Arabidopsis thaliana: one gene and its partner. The protein of the gene in region 1 interacts with the protein of each later gene in a pairwise test. Each region holds a gene or a part of one and is shown on either strand. Other genes may lie near its edges.

Region 1 (8,115 bases):
TATGTATAATAAAATTTCAGCATTGGGCATGTCAACCCTGAGCTATATGCCCTTGGTTCCAGTAGCTGGAATTTGGATAAGTCAGATTTGGGCAATTTTGGCACCCAATCGGCTGCTAACGAGTGGATGAAACATTACGTTGATGTACTTTGTGTGAATGCTTGGCAGGTAACAGTTCAAAAACTTGAAAGAATATCTTGTCACGATGTTCTGTTTTCGGACTCTCAGTTTCCAATTCTATTTATATGCAGGTGAAAAGATATATAGATGTGTATTCTAATTCATCGGTTGTTGGTTTCTCTTCCGATGATATGTCAAGGATATCAGATCTCTATTCTGCAGCAGAACAGAATTGGTCCAATTCTGTCAAACACATATTGATGGATAGAAATGGAGATGACGGCAGTACAGATATATCTGCCCTTCTTAAAGAGCAAATTGCTGAATATTTGAATTTCTTCTCAAGCGTTGTTGAACTTGCCCGGTCTAAGTGGACAGAGTTCAATCTGAATCTAATGATTACTGGGTTTGGGATATTGGTTATATCACTCATCCTTCAGTTTCTTGCTGTTTTCCATGGCGACAAATCTTATGCAGTGGGTTCTTGGTTATCCACTGGTGCAGCTTTCACTCTCTTTATAGTAACGATTCGAGCTTGCAGCTTTCTTTCAAATAGCTATATCTGTAAGTTTCAAGTAATCTTAGATTAAGCGTTTTGCTCTCTTTTTCTTTATGCTAATAGAGAATTTTTTTGTCAATAGTGGAAGAAGGAAAAGTTGCAAACTTTCTCCTGGCAACAACTGGACTTATCAAGCTGCGGTACTCTGTTATGAGAAAAACAATGCGGAAAGAAGTCAGTATTATCTATGACATGTCTTTGTTGCTTCTGGTTATTACCTTAAAATCTGCTTGTTGGATTGTAATATTTTCAATTATCTTGTCTGCAGGCTTTTATGTTTCTTGCTATGGTTTTTGTTCTCAGAGTTTCTATAGATATTGGGCTAACAAAGCAAGCTGCAACTTCTCAGTTTATGAGTAGCTCACCATCGTGGATGCTAGGGATAGCTCCAGACCATCCAGCATTGACATATGCGATTGAAATTGCACCAATTCTGTCAGTGGTTATACTCATTTGCGTGCTCTACGTAGCCATTGCGAAAGCACCCAATGAGGGGGTGTGGAAGTATGTTACTGTTGGTAGTATGGTAAGCTACTTTTTCATAGCATTGCTTTGGGCTTCGGAGAGCAAGATATTTGGTTTGGATCAGTTGCTTCAAGTGACGGGAGGAAGAAACCGCATTCCTCAAACGGTTTATGTAATTGGATTGGTGCAGCTCTGCCTTTTAGCTTCTGCACGTATGTTTTGCACAGAAAAAGACAAGAATTGGGCCATCAGAACTGTCGCTCTTGTATCTGCTTGTAGTTCGCCAATAATTCTATTGTCGGGGAAGCAAGGATCAATGCTTGCATTAGTATATTTAGTGGCTGGTAACTTTTTTCTTCTCACTTGATGATTCTCAAAGCAAACAAGCTTTATAATAAAGATGGCAACTCAGGTCATTAAGGTTTAACTGATGCAGTTAAATGTATGTAGGCTATTGTATAATGAGGCTGGAGGGTGTAGAGAGAAGAACCAAATCAGATGGACAGAGCAAATTCTCAAAACTAAATCCTCTCTGTGTGGTGCAATGGAGTCTTCTTTCTATATGCATGTTCTTCGCCAGCGGGCATTGGTGCGCCTTTGATGGCCTTCGTTATGGAGCTGCATTTGTGGGGTAGGTCCAAGTTTCATAAACTCAGCCTACAATGGAGTCTTAATTCAATATGGTGGTTTTGTTGACATACTTTCTTCAGGTTTGATGAGTTTGTGCTTATACGACAAGCCATTCTTTTGACAATCGAGACATTTGGATTCTCGATCATCCTTTCTGTATTTGGACTTCCTCTCCTCATACCTTTTCACTCTCAAACTCCTCAGGCTCATGGCGAAAAGCGCCACCAGTTGTTTCAAGTAAGACATCTTCATATTGATTCGTTTTTGGTTTATTCTAGTAGATTCAGTGACAATGTGTTAAATCATAACTTTTTTAACCGCATCAGATGTATATGCTCTTTGGAGTTATATCTGCAACCACAGTCACAGCTACAATTCTCTGCGTCACCATCCAGAGAAGACATCTGATGGTAAACACAGCAAGATTCACTCAAGCCAAAGGTTCTTGTTTTGTATCTGTGACTAAAACATTGCTCTCATGTTCTTGCAGGTTTGGGGTTTGTTTGCTCCAAAGTTCGTCTTTGACGTTGTTGATCTCATCCTTACTGATCTCCTCATCTGTTTGGCTTCAGCTTACTATCTTTGATTCATACTTGCAATTGATGAAAGATGTAACAGTAGATTTTAGCAGGTAATTGTTTTTTTTACTTCTCTATGAATGTAAAAAAGAATGATCAGAAATCCTTTTTTGAGCATTGATAGATTAAGAAGGATCGGTTTCGATTCAAGTTACAAATCTCTAAGCCTATCTTGGGTACCTAAGAGATTATTCATTTTCTCATTACAATAAGAGATGCAATCTGCTAGAGTTCTCTTGTAGCTTAGCCTCCACTGCACAGACCATCTCCATTTGCTCAGCATCCTGCTAGTTTTCCTGGAAAATTCTATAGGTTTCCCAGATAATACAGTGACATCCCACAAACAATTTGCATCAAGAAAAGCACGTACTTCGCTGCCAAAAGCTTCTGTTTCTTTCTGCTCCAAACGCAATTCTGGATCTTGGAGTTTGTCAATGTTATGAAGAAGCACAGTGTCCTCTGTGACAGAAGTTGGCAGATCCCTTAAAACACTTCCACATTTCTCTGACATCCACTTCATGACAAGAATCTCATTCTTCACAGATATCTGAGATCCAGCGTAAACAAGGCGCATAACTGACTTGTCACGCTGGCTCTGTGGGATCAGCCACAGTCTCAACGTGGATATCAGCGCAAAAGACAGCTTACCGTCTTGATGAATGTATAAAGAATCTTTAGGCCATGAAGAAGCTAGAGAAAATAGGCTGGTTTCTAGAGGAATGAAGACCTTGTCATTTGAGTTCTCTTCTAACATAAACCCATAGTGCTCAAGAAGCTCTAGATTCGTGTAAGTCCCATAACATAGAAGAACCTACACCCACAAATACAATCCTCACCATTCAGTATATTTTCTACGTTGTGCTTCCGCTTCATTAGTTTCGCAGCTGTAACAAAAGCTAGTTGAGGACTTGTACCTGTTCTCCTAGCTGATAATTCCTTCTTGCATAAAGACAGTAAGCATTGACATCTTCCTCGAATCCACCATCTGTGAGCCTTTCAGAGTGTGTCTCAACAACAAGTCCTGCTTCCTCTACATTATTAGCACTCTCAGGACCTTGTGGGGTATTCGAATAATCTCCAGGAGCATCGTAGTTGAACAAGTCCCCTACAGGACACAAACACCCAGCACTATCCCATGGTACATGCAGTGTTCGTGAAGATATCTTCAAACAGAAGTAAAGTTTGTAGCTGTAAGTTTACACAAACCTTTCTAATCAACCATCATCGATTTCTCGAGCAACTTTCGTGTGATAAAGTGAAGTGTTCTTACCGTTGCAGAAGCCCATAGCCATGCTTGGAAACTCCGAAACTTAGGCTTCAGCTCTAACTCCTTCATTAACGAACCAGCTTCTTTCCACTCAGACTGACACTTGGCTGTGGCTTTTTCTGTAGCCCAAACAGCATCTTCAACCTAAGGACATGAAAAAAATCCCATCTTTTAGACTTGAAATCAACAGAAAAGAAAGGAACATGATCTCAATCCAATAACATGAGATCTAACCTATTCAAAAATCAAAATAAAACACAAAAGTGTAGTAGTAGTAAACACAGAACTTGTAAAGCTTGCTTCTCGAAATTCCCAAATGTAGCCAAGAGATCATAGTCACGAGGTATATGGAACAAGTATGGATACCAAAAAGACTTCTTCTCCTTGCTCATTTCATACAATAAGCATACACTCAGTATCTGCAAATTTCAACAATTCTGAGGTTTTAAGATTTTTCTCAGAAACAAAAACAGAACAGATTCAAATGGTCAGAGAAATAGAGAGCACCTGAGTCGAAGAAAGTGAATTGTGAAGATTAACAGCATCGCTCAATTTTAGATCTTTAGCAATTATGGATTCTGTAGTCATCAAGGCTTTTCTGGGGACTTTCAAAACCAATTCTCCTTTCTTGAGCTCACGAGCAGCTCCCAAACCTCTCCTGATTGCATCAATCGAGCAATGAGAAGACAGATTTTAGGGATTTAGAAATGAAAGAGTTCGAATTCAATTCCACGCACCCGCCGGCGTCAGGGAAGTCGGAGACGGAAAGAGAATGTCCAAGACACGAATCGCGAAATCGAGAAGAATCAATAGAATCTGAAATGCCAATCTCTGCTGCCCATCGCAGGAACGTCTCCATGGTTTGGTGTTCTAAGTCCATGTCGATCTTCTTCTTCTTCCTGGGTTTCTCCTAAAACCCTGATCCTAAAAATTACAAAAATTACAAAAATACCCCAAATGTTTTTGAAACGCAGCGCGTTTCCACACGTGCCGTAGACTATTCGGTTTAATCCGGTTTGGTTCGAATCTGTGTAGATTCTTAAAGGAATATTTTGGTTTTCACTTTTTAGATCCATTTTTGGATTTGGTCCAAAAAGCTCTAATTTTTTAGGTAGGGAATTGTGGACGATATTGAACAAATTCAGACCTCTAATTGATACCAGAATTCACTAGATATACATTTTTTGACGAATCGTAATATATCGAATTCGAGTTTTCATTCATGCATTTATATATAATCAGTGTAATTATAATAAGTATGAATTGATATGTAGTGTAATCAACTAGACAAAAAAACTAAAAAACACTTATGTTCACAATACGATTTTCGGTGGAGAAAACCGGTTACATCAAAACAACTTGAGTGTATATTTACGTAGGCTACACACTAGAAGAGGTAGGTAACAAAACAAATACAAAGAATATGCAGAATAAGAGGAAGGAATATTCAATTTCTCACGGCCTAACAAAGAAAGTAGTACTGGTAGCTTAGCAAATCATGTGGTGTGTTAGAACTGAATTATTACGCTAAAAACCACAAATATCATGTGGTGGATTGACGTTAGAAAATAAAGGTCGAGTATTTCCTATTTTCTTTAGTTTTTGGATTCGTCTTTCTAGTTGTGGATTGTGTGTACATTTTACAATTAAACATAATATTGATTAAAGAAAGAAATTTTGTTTATCAAATCTGAAATAGCTAATTCCCACTAGAAAATTATTCATAATGATTCGGGGACAGAAAAATAACTATCATTTTGTTAAGTGGTTTGGAAACAAGTCAAAACTTATTTATTATCACTTATATTAACTATGACTTTAGAAAACGAAATACATAATTATTTATCTCCCTGTTGAGAGGTTAAAACTACATTATCATTCTCTACTACATGTATGCGCTATCCGTGTATAATGGGGAGTGTAATACGGGTCCATGACACATCCATTTAGTGTTACGTGGCTGACTCTGTACGTAGCCATTACCGAGTTATTATATTTATATATCACAACTTTTTCTAGACCATTTTAGAAACTAGAGTAACTAAAACTCGTCAGCAGAAATATTTTATATACCAAATTTAAAATATTCAGGGAGGCAAAAAACAAAGAGGAAAAAACACTTGCAGCATTAAGTGACACTACGTGTCGCGCCATGTAACCATGTAACCATGTAAATGGTGACTACGGTCCATTTCTTTGGTACTTTTTATAATAAAACCTTTTTTATTCAGTTATTTACATTATTTGATATAGAAAACGATAAAACTCCATCTCAATTTTATGGGCCACGAAAGATGACACAATTTACGAGTACACGTTTCCATTTACATCTATGTCTCCATCACTCGCCGAACAAATTTTAGTACGTGAAATGTTTGACGAATTGCATCGAACCTTAGTGATATTATCGTGAATTTCAGTGGCAAAGATTATAATTAAAAATGAAGATTTGTAATTTGAAATTGTACATAAACATAAAAATTACAACGTGATTTACAACCACTTAAGTTGGTTTAAATTTTCTTTCGTAACCGAAACATCTCTATCATAAAACTAATGCTTGCTATACGACTACGAGGGTTATGAGACAAGTTTCTATGCATGTTACAGATTGAAATCTTTTAAAGAAAAAAAATTCATGTAAATTGTTTTTTTGATTAATTAGGTTCAACCATGTCTCATCTTTATGTTATTCTCATTCTCCATATATAAATATATTATCCATAAGCTTGGCCGGCTCTCCAACCGTTCTATTAACAATAGCACTAAGCAAGAACTTCAATATGACCACTCTCATTTTCCACCTTCGATCAAGCAACAACACAGCTGAGAAAGTAGCCAAGCTAATTATCACTATCTCTAAACGCTTGTGATTCTAGATTGTACACGTTATAAGTACCAGGATCTATGGAATTAAGTTGAGTAAAAACAAAGAGTGATAGTCACTGACTCAAACAAAAACGTCTTGGTCAGTATATATAACTTACTAAAAAAACAATTAAACTTGTTATACCATTTGAAATTTACTACTCATCAATCATCATGTCTGTTAAATTTTCAGTATATTATAAAAACGCATTTCCATTAAATCAAAGTTAATTATGCCAATTTTCAGTATTCTATTGATAACTCGGGCTAATCCACATCGAAGCTCGACCAAGTCCCATGCATATGGTCTAGGTGATCCTCTAGAACTAGGGCGGTTGACATAAATTTCGTACGAAAACAATACTTTTATCATTCAGTACTAAACCAAAAAAAGCGGTTTCTTTACGAGAGAATGTATTTGAAACAAGATACGGAGAAAATACGGACCAGACTAAAAATAACAAAGGATAAAACCAAAATCAAGAAGAAACTTAAAAGACAAAACCTTCTGAGCGCAAGAGAGAGGGCCAAGTTGCGAAGACAGTATGGGACCCAAATACCGACTAAGCGGAAATCTAACTTTTAACTTTTCCTACCAATGAAACATTGACACGTGGAAAAGCAACGTCGCCCACTTTACCCTCCGCACTTTGAAATCTTTGATAAGCTTATCGCTCTCCCATTGGCCGTAGGCTCCACGTGGCATCTCTCTGATCTCTCTTCTGCTAATCCTTTTTTACCCAAACTGGCATGACCCCACCCCTAAACCCCTATTGTCCTTTCTACCAACAATTACTTAATGACTTATATAATATTCTAATTATATTTTAATTATGTAATTAAATAACTATTGATCCCATCTCCATAGTGACATGTCTCACTTTTTCTTCCACAACAAAATGCGTCACTCTTGATTCATCATGTTCGTAGCAAAATCCACGTTATTACAAAAAACGTTATACATTTTGAAAGGTAATCCATAAAATAGTGAGATGGATCAAGTTTTCTACGCAACCCTCGTAGAATTTTAGCAATGATCCAAAGCTACTGTATATATATAGTTACGTTTCGTAACACAACATGTATTTTACCATGATTATGCCTCTTTTTTTTTTCTTTCCACAACATATATGTATTTACATCCTTATTTGGTTTAGGCTGAGTTTGTTAACATAGCATCACCAATAGGGACAATTTTTTTTTTTATTACAATCTAAATATCTAAAATATAAATTCACATGAAATTAATGTTTCTAATAGAGTTCTTCAATCTTCATGTACAATTGCACATTTTTGTGAAATTATTATTACTTTATCATTTTTTCTTTAAAATTAATTCACCGAGTACCGATAAATGTTTATATTGAATACGATTTAGTAAACGACATATATGTTTCGTCACATTTTTATCACTATTTGTAATATATCTGTTAAATTTGATGATGTAGTTTCTGTTTTTGAATTGAAAACTTACAAAGTTTAGAAAAAAGAATGTAAATTAGAAATAAATACACTTTCTGTATTTTTGAATACTATAATAGGCTAAAATCACATCATTTTCTAATGTTGCTTTAAATAATATATATCAAATAAAGGCTTAAATTACATTTATATAAGAAATATTGTAA
Region 2 (6,525 bases), on another chromosome or scaffold:
TCAGAATCCGTCTTTTTTTGTTTATGTAGATTGATGCATCTATTTTCTCTAATTTAGTTTGGTGGAAAAACCAGTTTACACTGATGCAAGAGGGAAGTTATTTTTCGGAATTTGAACATGATTAAGTACTGATATGTTTTGTGGATGCAGGAGAGCATGGAGCAAAGGAAGCTAGAATTACGAGGTAGACCGGCATTGAACATGACAATACCGATGAGTGTTTTTGAAGGATCTGGAAAAGATCATCATCATTTTGGGCGGGTAGTAGGTGAAAACGGTGAAGAAGTGTTGGATGAAGAGAATGGAGAGCAAAGAGAGGTTCAAGTGAAGGTCCTAGTGAAGAGAGGAAACAAACAACAAACAAGGCAAATGCTAATCCCGAGTGATTGTGCTCTAGTGCAGAGCACAAAACAGAAAGAAGCTGCAGAATTGGAAGAGAAACAAGACATAAAGAGGTTAGTACTCGAGTACAATGAGAGGGATGAAGAGGAAGCAAATGGGTTAGGAACACAGATATTGAATTGGACTTCTGGAGGAAGCAGAGGATCCACTCGAACCGGGGAAGGCAGTGGGAAGAGTGGTGGGTCTCGTCACCGGTTTTATTATCATCAAGGAGGTGGTGGTTCGTATCATGCCCGACGAAAGTAACTTCATCCGGTTTAGGGGGAAAATTTGATAATCTTGCCTGTGTCAAAAGCGGTAATAGTTGGCTTTTTGCTACGGCTGAAAAGGACAATTCACAAGAAATCTCATGAGTTTCTGTGACAAAAGTTGATGTATTCGACTTCACATTCTGTAGTGTTGGTTAAGTAAATCTCTGTGTGTGACCCTTTTTGTCCAGCTTGGTTAAATCTTGCATTTAATGATTATTTAGCATCATTCTCATGTGAAAAAAAAAAAGAAGAAGAAGAAGAAGAAATTACTAAGTAAGGAAAGAGAATGATGACGAGAAGAAAACTTTTTAAGATTTGGTCTTACCATATACGGAAAGGCCAGATTTAGTGTGCAGAGGACGGATTAATAAAGATTCCTTAACAAATCTAGTTTTTGTACTTTCATCAAATCATGAGAAAATGGACGGTTGAGATATGCACACGAACTTATCATCCAACGTTTCTAAATTATTGATATCTAGGTGTCCATATAAACATGTACTTGGTGATTGCTGAATTGTTTATACAAACGAATGACATAATAAGTCACACTCTCTCTTCATTAAGGTTTCTAATTCTACCTCTCTCTCCCCTCCACATACAAAAGTGGTAGTTGGCTTTATTGGACCGACGCTTAGGTCCCCAACACGTTCCATTTCACTCCATTATTGTATTCATTGACATATCTATTCAAAAAGAGATTTTGTATGGTTTTTATTGTGGTGCAGAAAAATTGATACCCGATTTGGTCTACCAAAATAATTTTCCTCATAATGCATTCATGTTCGGGTGTCCCCACTCGTGATATAAATTCATAATTTTCTCAATCTGTAAGTAATATTCGAAAAGAGTAATAGTTTATACAAATTACATTGTGATAGTATTATTAGACTATTAGTAAAGAATATACACACACATATATACTATTCATATTCCCGTATATCAAATTTTCAGTAGTCATATATTCATACGAACGCGTACTTACTATTCAGACTATATATACACGAATCTCCGAATATCTTGAAAACGTATAAGACCGAGCTAGTAATAGATATTGGCTAAGATATATTTTGGGTAAGTCGTTCTTATATTTTTTCGAGATGTTCGGAAATTGGTTTATACACATGTTTAAATATAGGAAAAAGAAAAAAAATAACGCAATCAATAAATTAATAAATAGAGATGTCTGAAAAGTAGCCAAAAACTAATAAATCAGTGTGTAGACAATCGCACTGAACAACACGTCCCACGTTCTTTTTCTTCCCTGTTTTAGATAGACTCTTAGAGTCTCTCTAGAGTCACCGGAACAATCACAAAAGCGACGACATATTACTCATTCCTACAAATACTCATGTTGGACCTCAACCTCGGAATCTTGTCGACACACAACGAAGATGAAGATTGCAAAGTACCAACTTCCATCTTCATTCAAGAAGAAGATTCCATTAATCCCTCAAACGACAACTTGTCTTTGATTACATTTGGAATCCTTAAACGAAACGTCGAAATCCTTCCTCCTCCCCCTCCTCCTCCTCCTCCTCCTCCTCCTTCGGAAAATGAACTCTCCGGCCCCGGAAATGAGTGGTTGGATCTTTCGTCGATGCAAAGAAATAAACAAGAAACGTTGGTGATGAAGAAAAAAAGTCGACGTGGCCCAAGATCAAGAAGCTCTCATTATCGTGGCGTTACCTTTTACCGTCGAACCGGCCGTTGGGAATCTCATATTTGGTATTCATTCATAAACTTTAAGTTATAAAATATATTTTAATTAGTTTTGAGATTAACACTTGGTTTTGGGATTTATGTGTAGGGACTGTGGAAAACAAGTTTATTTGGGTAATTAGATGAGATTTTCTATTTCTCTTACTATTATATTAAGGTTTAAAACCTTCTTGGATAAGAGAATTCTGAAAAGAGTAAACCAAATGATGAAAGATTTTCACTTTTTCAGTTTTGTCTTTTGTTTGGTTAAAAACAGGTGGTTTCGACACAGCCTACACAGCCGCAAGGTGTAAGAAATAGTAACAGATGTTACATGACATAACATTCGTCCTTTCAAAAATTCTTCATTTTTTCTTTTTTGGACATTTTAGTTTATATCTTTAGAGAAATATTAGTTGACTTATATATTCAAATACATATCAGAGCGTACGACCGAGCTGCTATCAGATTCCGGGGACTCCAAGCAGATATCAACTTTATCGTGGATGATTACAAACAAGACATTGAAAAGGTTTTTTTTTTCATATAACTTATTGCTTCCTATAAAGAGACAGAGAAGTTGGACGTTCGAATACTATAATATGGATATTTTGAATGATGTGGTAGATGAAGAATTTAAGCAAAGAAGAGTTTGTGCAATCTCTTAGACGAGCGAGTGCAAGCTTAGCAAGAGGAGGTTCTAAATACAAAAACACCCATATGAGAAATGATCACATCCATCTCTTCCAAAACAGGTTCGATTCGTTACTCTTCTCGCGGGTACAATTTCATTCACTATTAACCGTGACCAGTTGATTCCTATCGCGTATATGATTCACACATATAATGCATACGATTTGTAAAAGTGTTTGTATGAATACTCATAGGGGATTGAATGCAGCAGCAGCAAAATGCAATGAGATAAGAAAGATGGAAGGGGATATTAAGTTGGGTGCCCATAGTAAAGGTACTTTATAAATGTAGGGTCACGGCTGTAAATATACATACTAAATCATTGTTATCATTTAGGTGAAAGCTAAAAACCCTAACCACAACTTCACTTTGACACATGTTGCACACCTTTGATTTGATCAACCAAACCCTAGCTAGCTAGCCTTACCTTTCAGAATCATTCTCGTTCAAAATTCAATGCATATTAGTTTATAGATTTTAATCAATTTTTTTTTTTTTTTTGAAAGATTTAAACTTTAATGCACAACGACAACAGTAACACAAACCACTAAACTATATCTTATTCAACTTGATCAATATTTTAATTTAAGACATTACGACATGATTTACGAAAAGCTTTTAACGTTTTCAGGAAATGAGCACAACGATCTCGAGCTAAGTCTTGGGATATCTTCATCGTCAAAAGTTAGAATTTTGGAACCAGCAGATTATTACATGGGTTTGAATCGATCGGTGACGAGTTTGCATGGGAAGCCGTTGCCGGGATATCTACCGATCACAGAAATTAAACCGTTAAAGACAGTTGTAGCATCATCAGGATTCCCTTTCATTACCATGATCAATCCTTCTTCTTTGTCCTTATCTTGTTTTGATCCATGAGGTGATCACTATTTACTTTTAAAATTTTCCCCTTTTTATTGATAATCTATTGAATGACGGAATGATTATGTGACTTATATCTTTTTATAAACCATATTCTTGTGGAATCAGGAATTTTGTGCCAATAAAAAAAGACAAAGAACCATCATGTACTATGTTGTCAACGATGATAATTCCCAAGTGTGTGAAAGTTATAGTGTAAGTACTAGTGAGTACTCGTGAGGTTAGTAACATAAGACACGTGCATAATTGCAAACAAACAACTTTGCCGAAAATTTGTACAATGGTTAAGAAAAGAAAAGAGAGTATTGAATGATCAAAGAAAAGGAGATGAATGGGACACGTCGTCGTTTGTAATTAAAGTACAATGTCGTATTGGGTCGTATAATATCCGCTTGCTTCACCACATTCACTTATTTCTTATCCCCACTTTTCCAACTTTTCGACCCTTTTTTTTTGGGATTTCAATAAATAAACTAACAAAACAGAAGATAGAGAAAATTTACTATCCTTACATTGCAATTTTATACCTAAATAACCCAAAACAGTGGAAGAGACGAAAAAAAAAGGTGTGAAATCTTGTGGTGTTGCCATTTGCCAATGCTTTTGCTTCGATGTGCCACACTCAATCCAAGCGAGCAAGGGTAATAAGACCTAAAGTGGCCTCGACCTTTGTTTTCTTGGGCCTTAGCCGTAGGCCCAAACTTCTCTCGAGTCGTTCATGGAGATCCATCAGGGACACGTGCCATTAGTCTGTTTAGTTATAAATTTTTATGTATAGTTTGCATTTAGGTTAGTTTGGAATTAGATTAATGGTATAATTAATTTATGTTATATATAATGTTAATTTTTGAGGGCCTCGCGGGATCCATTCGAACTTCCTCTGCCGACAAAAAAGAAAAGAAGAAGACGACGTTTATATGTGTATCTCCCCAGCTAAGTGGAATCAGAGCGTGTAAAAATTATTCATCGGTGCGAGTTCTCTCTAACCTTTGTTTGTTTGTTCATGGTGGGCTCTGGTTTCCTCTTTTAGAAGAAAATTGTTAGGGCGAGAAGAAAAAAATTGAATATAGAATGAATATCTCTTTTTAAGGGTTTATGGTTTTGCTGCTCTAACCTTGGATTTTAGTGTATTGTTTTTGTTCTTCAGTAGTTGAAATTTCGAAGCACTAGCATAAGAGAATGGGAGCAGAAGAAGTGGAGACTGCTGACTTAAGCGACAAAGCTTTGGTGTCTGCCATTAGAGAGGTCCTTGCATCTGCCCAAAGTGTGAGTCTTGCATAAATGTTGCTTCTTCCACATGTTCACATATGTTTCTCTGTGTGTGTGTTCTTTAAAATTAAAAGTATTTGTCTTTTGCTAAATCCAGGGGGATACCGATCAATATAATGAGCTTGTTCAGTTAATGTACATCAAAAAGAAGAAATCTGGTGACGATGCTATGGCACAGCCAGAGGTGCCTGATGATGTCGATGTTGTGGCTCAGCGAGAGGTGTGTCTTATGACAAATCCATTCTTTCTTTTTTTCGGTTGTTGCTAACTAAGACAATCTTCATTTCTCATTCGCTTTGCAGACACTCTTGAAAATTCTATCACACTCTGTTGCTTGCTTAGATGACGTTCACCATAACCACCTTCTTCAACTTGTAACTTTTATTTATCTATCTATCTATTACACACACATACCTTAATTACCTTCCTCTGACTAATTTCATCACATTCTATTGTCTTTAGATTCTTGGAACGAGAATTTGGGATCACAAACCTAATGTAATATATGCATTGCTGGACTTAATCATATCACTGGTATTATAACAGCTCAGCAACTATGTACCTCTCTCATATCATCATCAACCATATATATTATCTGCTTACGGAGCTTAACAGCTTTTGTGCTTTTGTTGTTTTCCATCTCTAGGCCACTACTAGTGGAAAGCATCTGAGCTCTTGTTTAGATACGCTCGTCTCTAATTTACGTTCGCAACCCCGCAAACTCGACAATAAGATGCTGGAAGTTCTTTCCAGGGTGCACGCAGCTCTTCACAAGATTTCTTATTTAGTTCCCCTTGCTCCCTCTATATTACTGCCCATACTCGCCCAGAGTATGCCTAGCGTACACGACAAAGCTCGCGTATGTTTTTTATTCTGTTAAAATCAATGTAACAGCTGTCCCATACATGTGGTTAACGAAATGACAAAACTATTTTATTGTCTTGCAGTTGCAGGTTGTAGTGCCATATGTGAAGAACTTGTTGAAGTTGGAGAACAGCTCAATCATCGGAAAAGTTGTTGGCAAGGATATTCTTATGATGGTGATGGGGAGGTTCCGAGATCTCGATGTAAGTGGACGGAACGAATAATTGTATTTTCCATACAAGTATAGTACTATAGTTAGTTGATGATATGCTTGATCATCTTTGTAGTCGGAGATTGAGTGCGATGATAATCTCCAAAATGACTCCAGTCTAGCAATGTTTGATATGGAACTTGACGTTGCAGTTGAAGGCACTCTAGTTTCTAAATTGTTGGACGATTTAATGGTCGAATCTTTTAATCATCTTAAATCTTGTCAAGATGCTGGTCGTCTGGATGAGGTATG

What was found. Proteins that work in one complex are often made in the same cells at the same time.
Region 2: the proteins of SDG40 (region 1) and SNZ interact in a two-hybrid assay, tested with the Arabidopsis thaliana proteins (one large-scale study listed by BioGRID).

Annotation. Positions count from the first base shown.
Region 1 is NC_003076.8:5,663,238-5,671,352, reverse strand, and holds SDG40 (SET domain group 40), read right to left. Parts: upstream 4,531-8,115; 5' UTR 4,500-4,530; coding exon 4,357-4,499; exon of another isoform or gene 4,278-4,356; coding exon 4,127-4,277; intron 4,039-4,126; coding exon 3,907-4,038; intron 3,764-3,906; coding exon 3,623-3,763; intron 3,516-3,622; coding exon 3,267-3,515; intron 3,164-3,266; coding exon 2,504-3,163; 3' UTR 2,446-2,503; downstream 1-2,445. Other genes in the region: AT5G17250 (Alkaline-phosphatase-like family protein), read left to right, coding at 21-168, 252-684, 762-853, 948-1,488, 1,595-1,775, 1,855-2,011, 2,101-2,184, 2,265-2,360.
Region 2 is NC_003071.7:16,386,411-16,392,935, reverse strand, and holds SNZ (Integrase-type DNA-binding superfamily protein), read left to right. Parts: upstream 1-1,759; 5' UTR 1,760-2,004; coding exon 2,005-2,381; intron 2,382-2,463; coding exon 2,464-2,489; intron 2,490-2,631; coding exon 2,632-2,662; intron 2,663-2,798; coding exon 2,799-2,886; intron 2,887-2,981; coding exon 2,982-3,109; coding exon of another isoform or gene 3,110-3,170; exon of another isoform or gene 3,171-3,241; coding exon 3,242-3,321; intron 3,322-3,678; coding exon 3,679-3,926; 3' UTR 3,927-4,245; downstream 4,246-6,525. Other genes in the region: AT2G39260 (regulator of nonsense transcripts UPF2), read left to right, coding at 151-648; AT2G39240 (RNA polymerase I specific transcription initiation factor RRN3 protein), read left to right, coding at 5,109-5,195, 5,296-5,418, 5,501-5,572, 5,661-5,732, 5,845-6,057, 6,146-6,265, 6,350-6,520.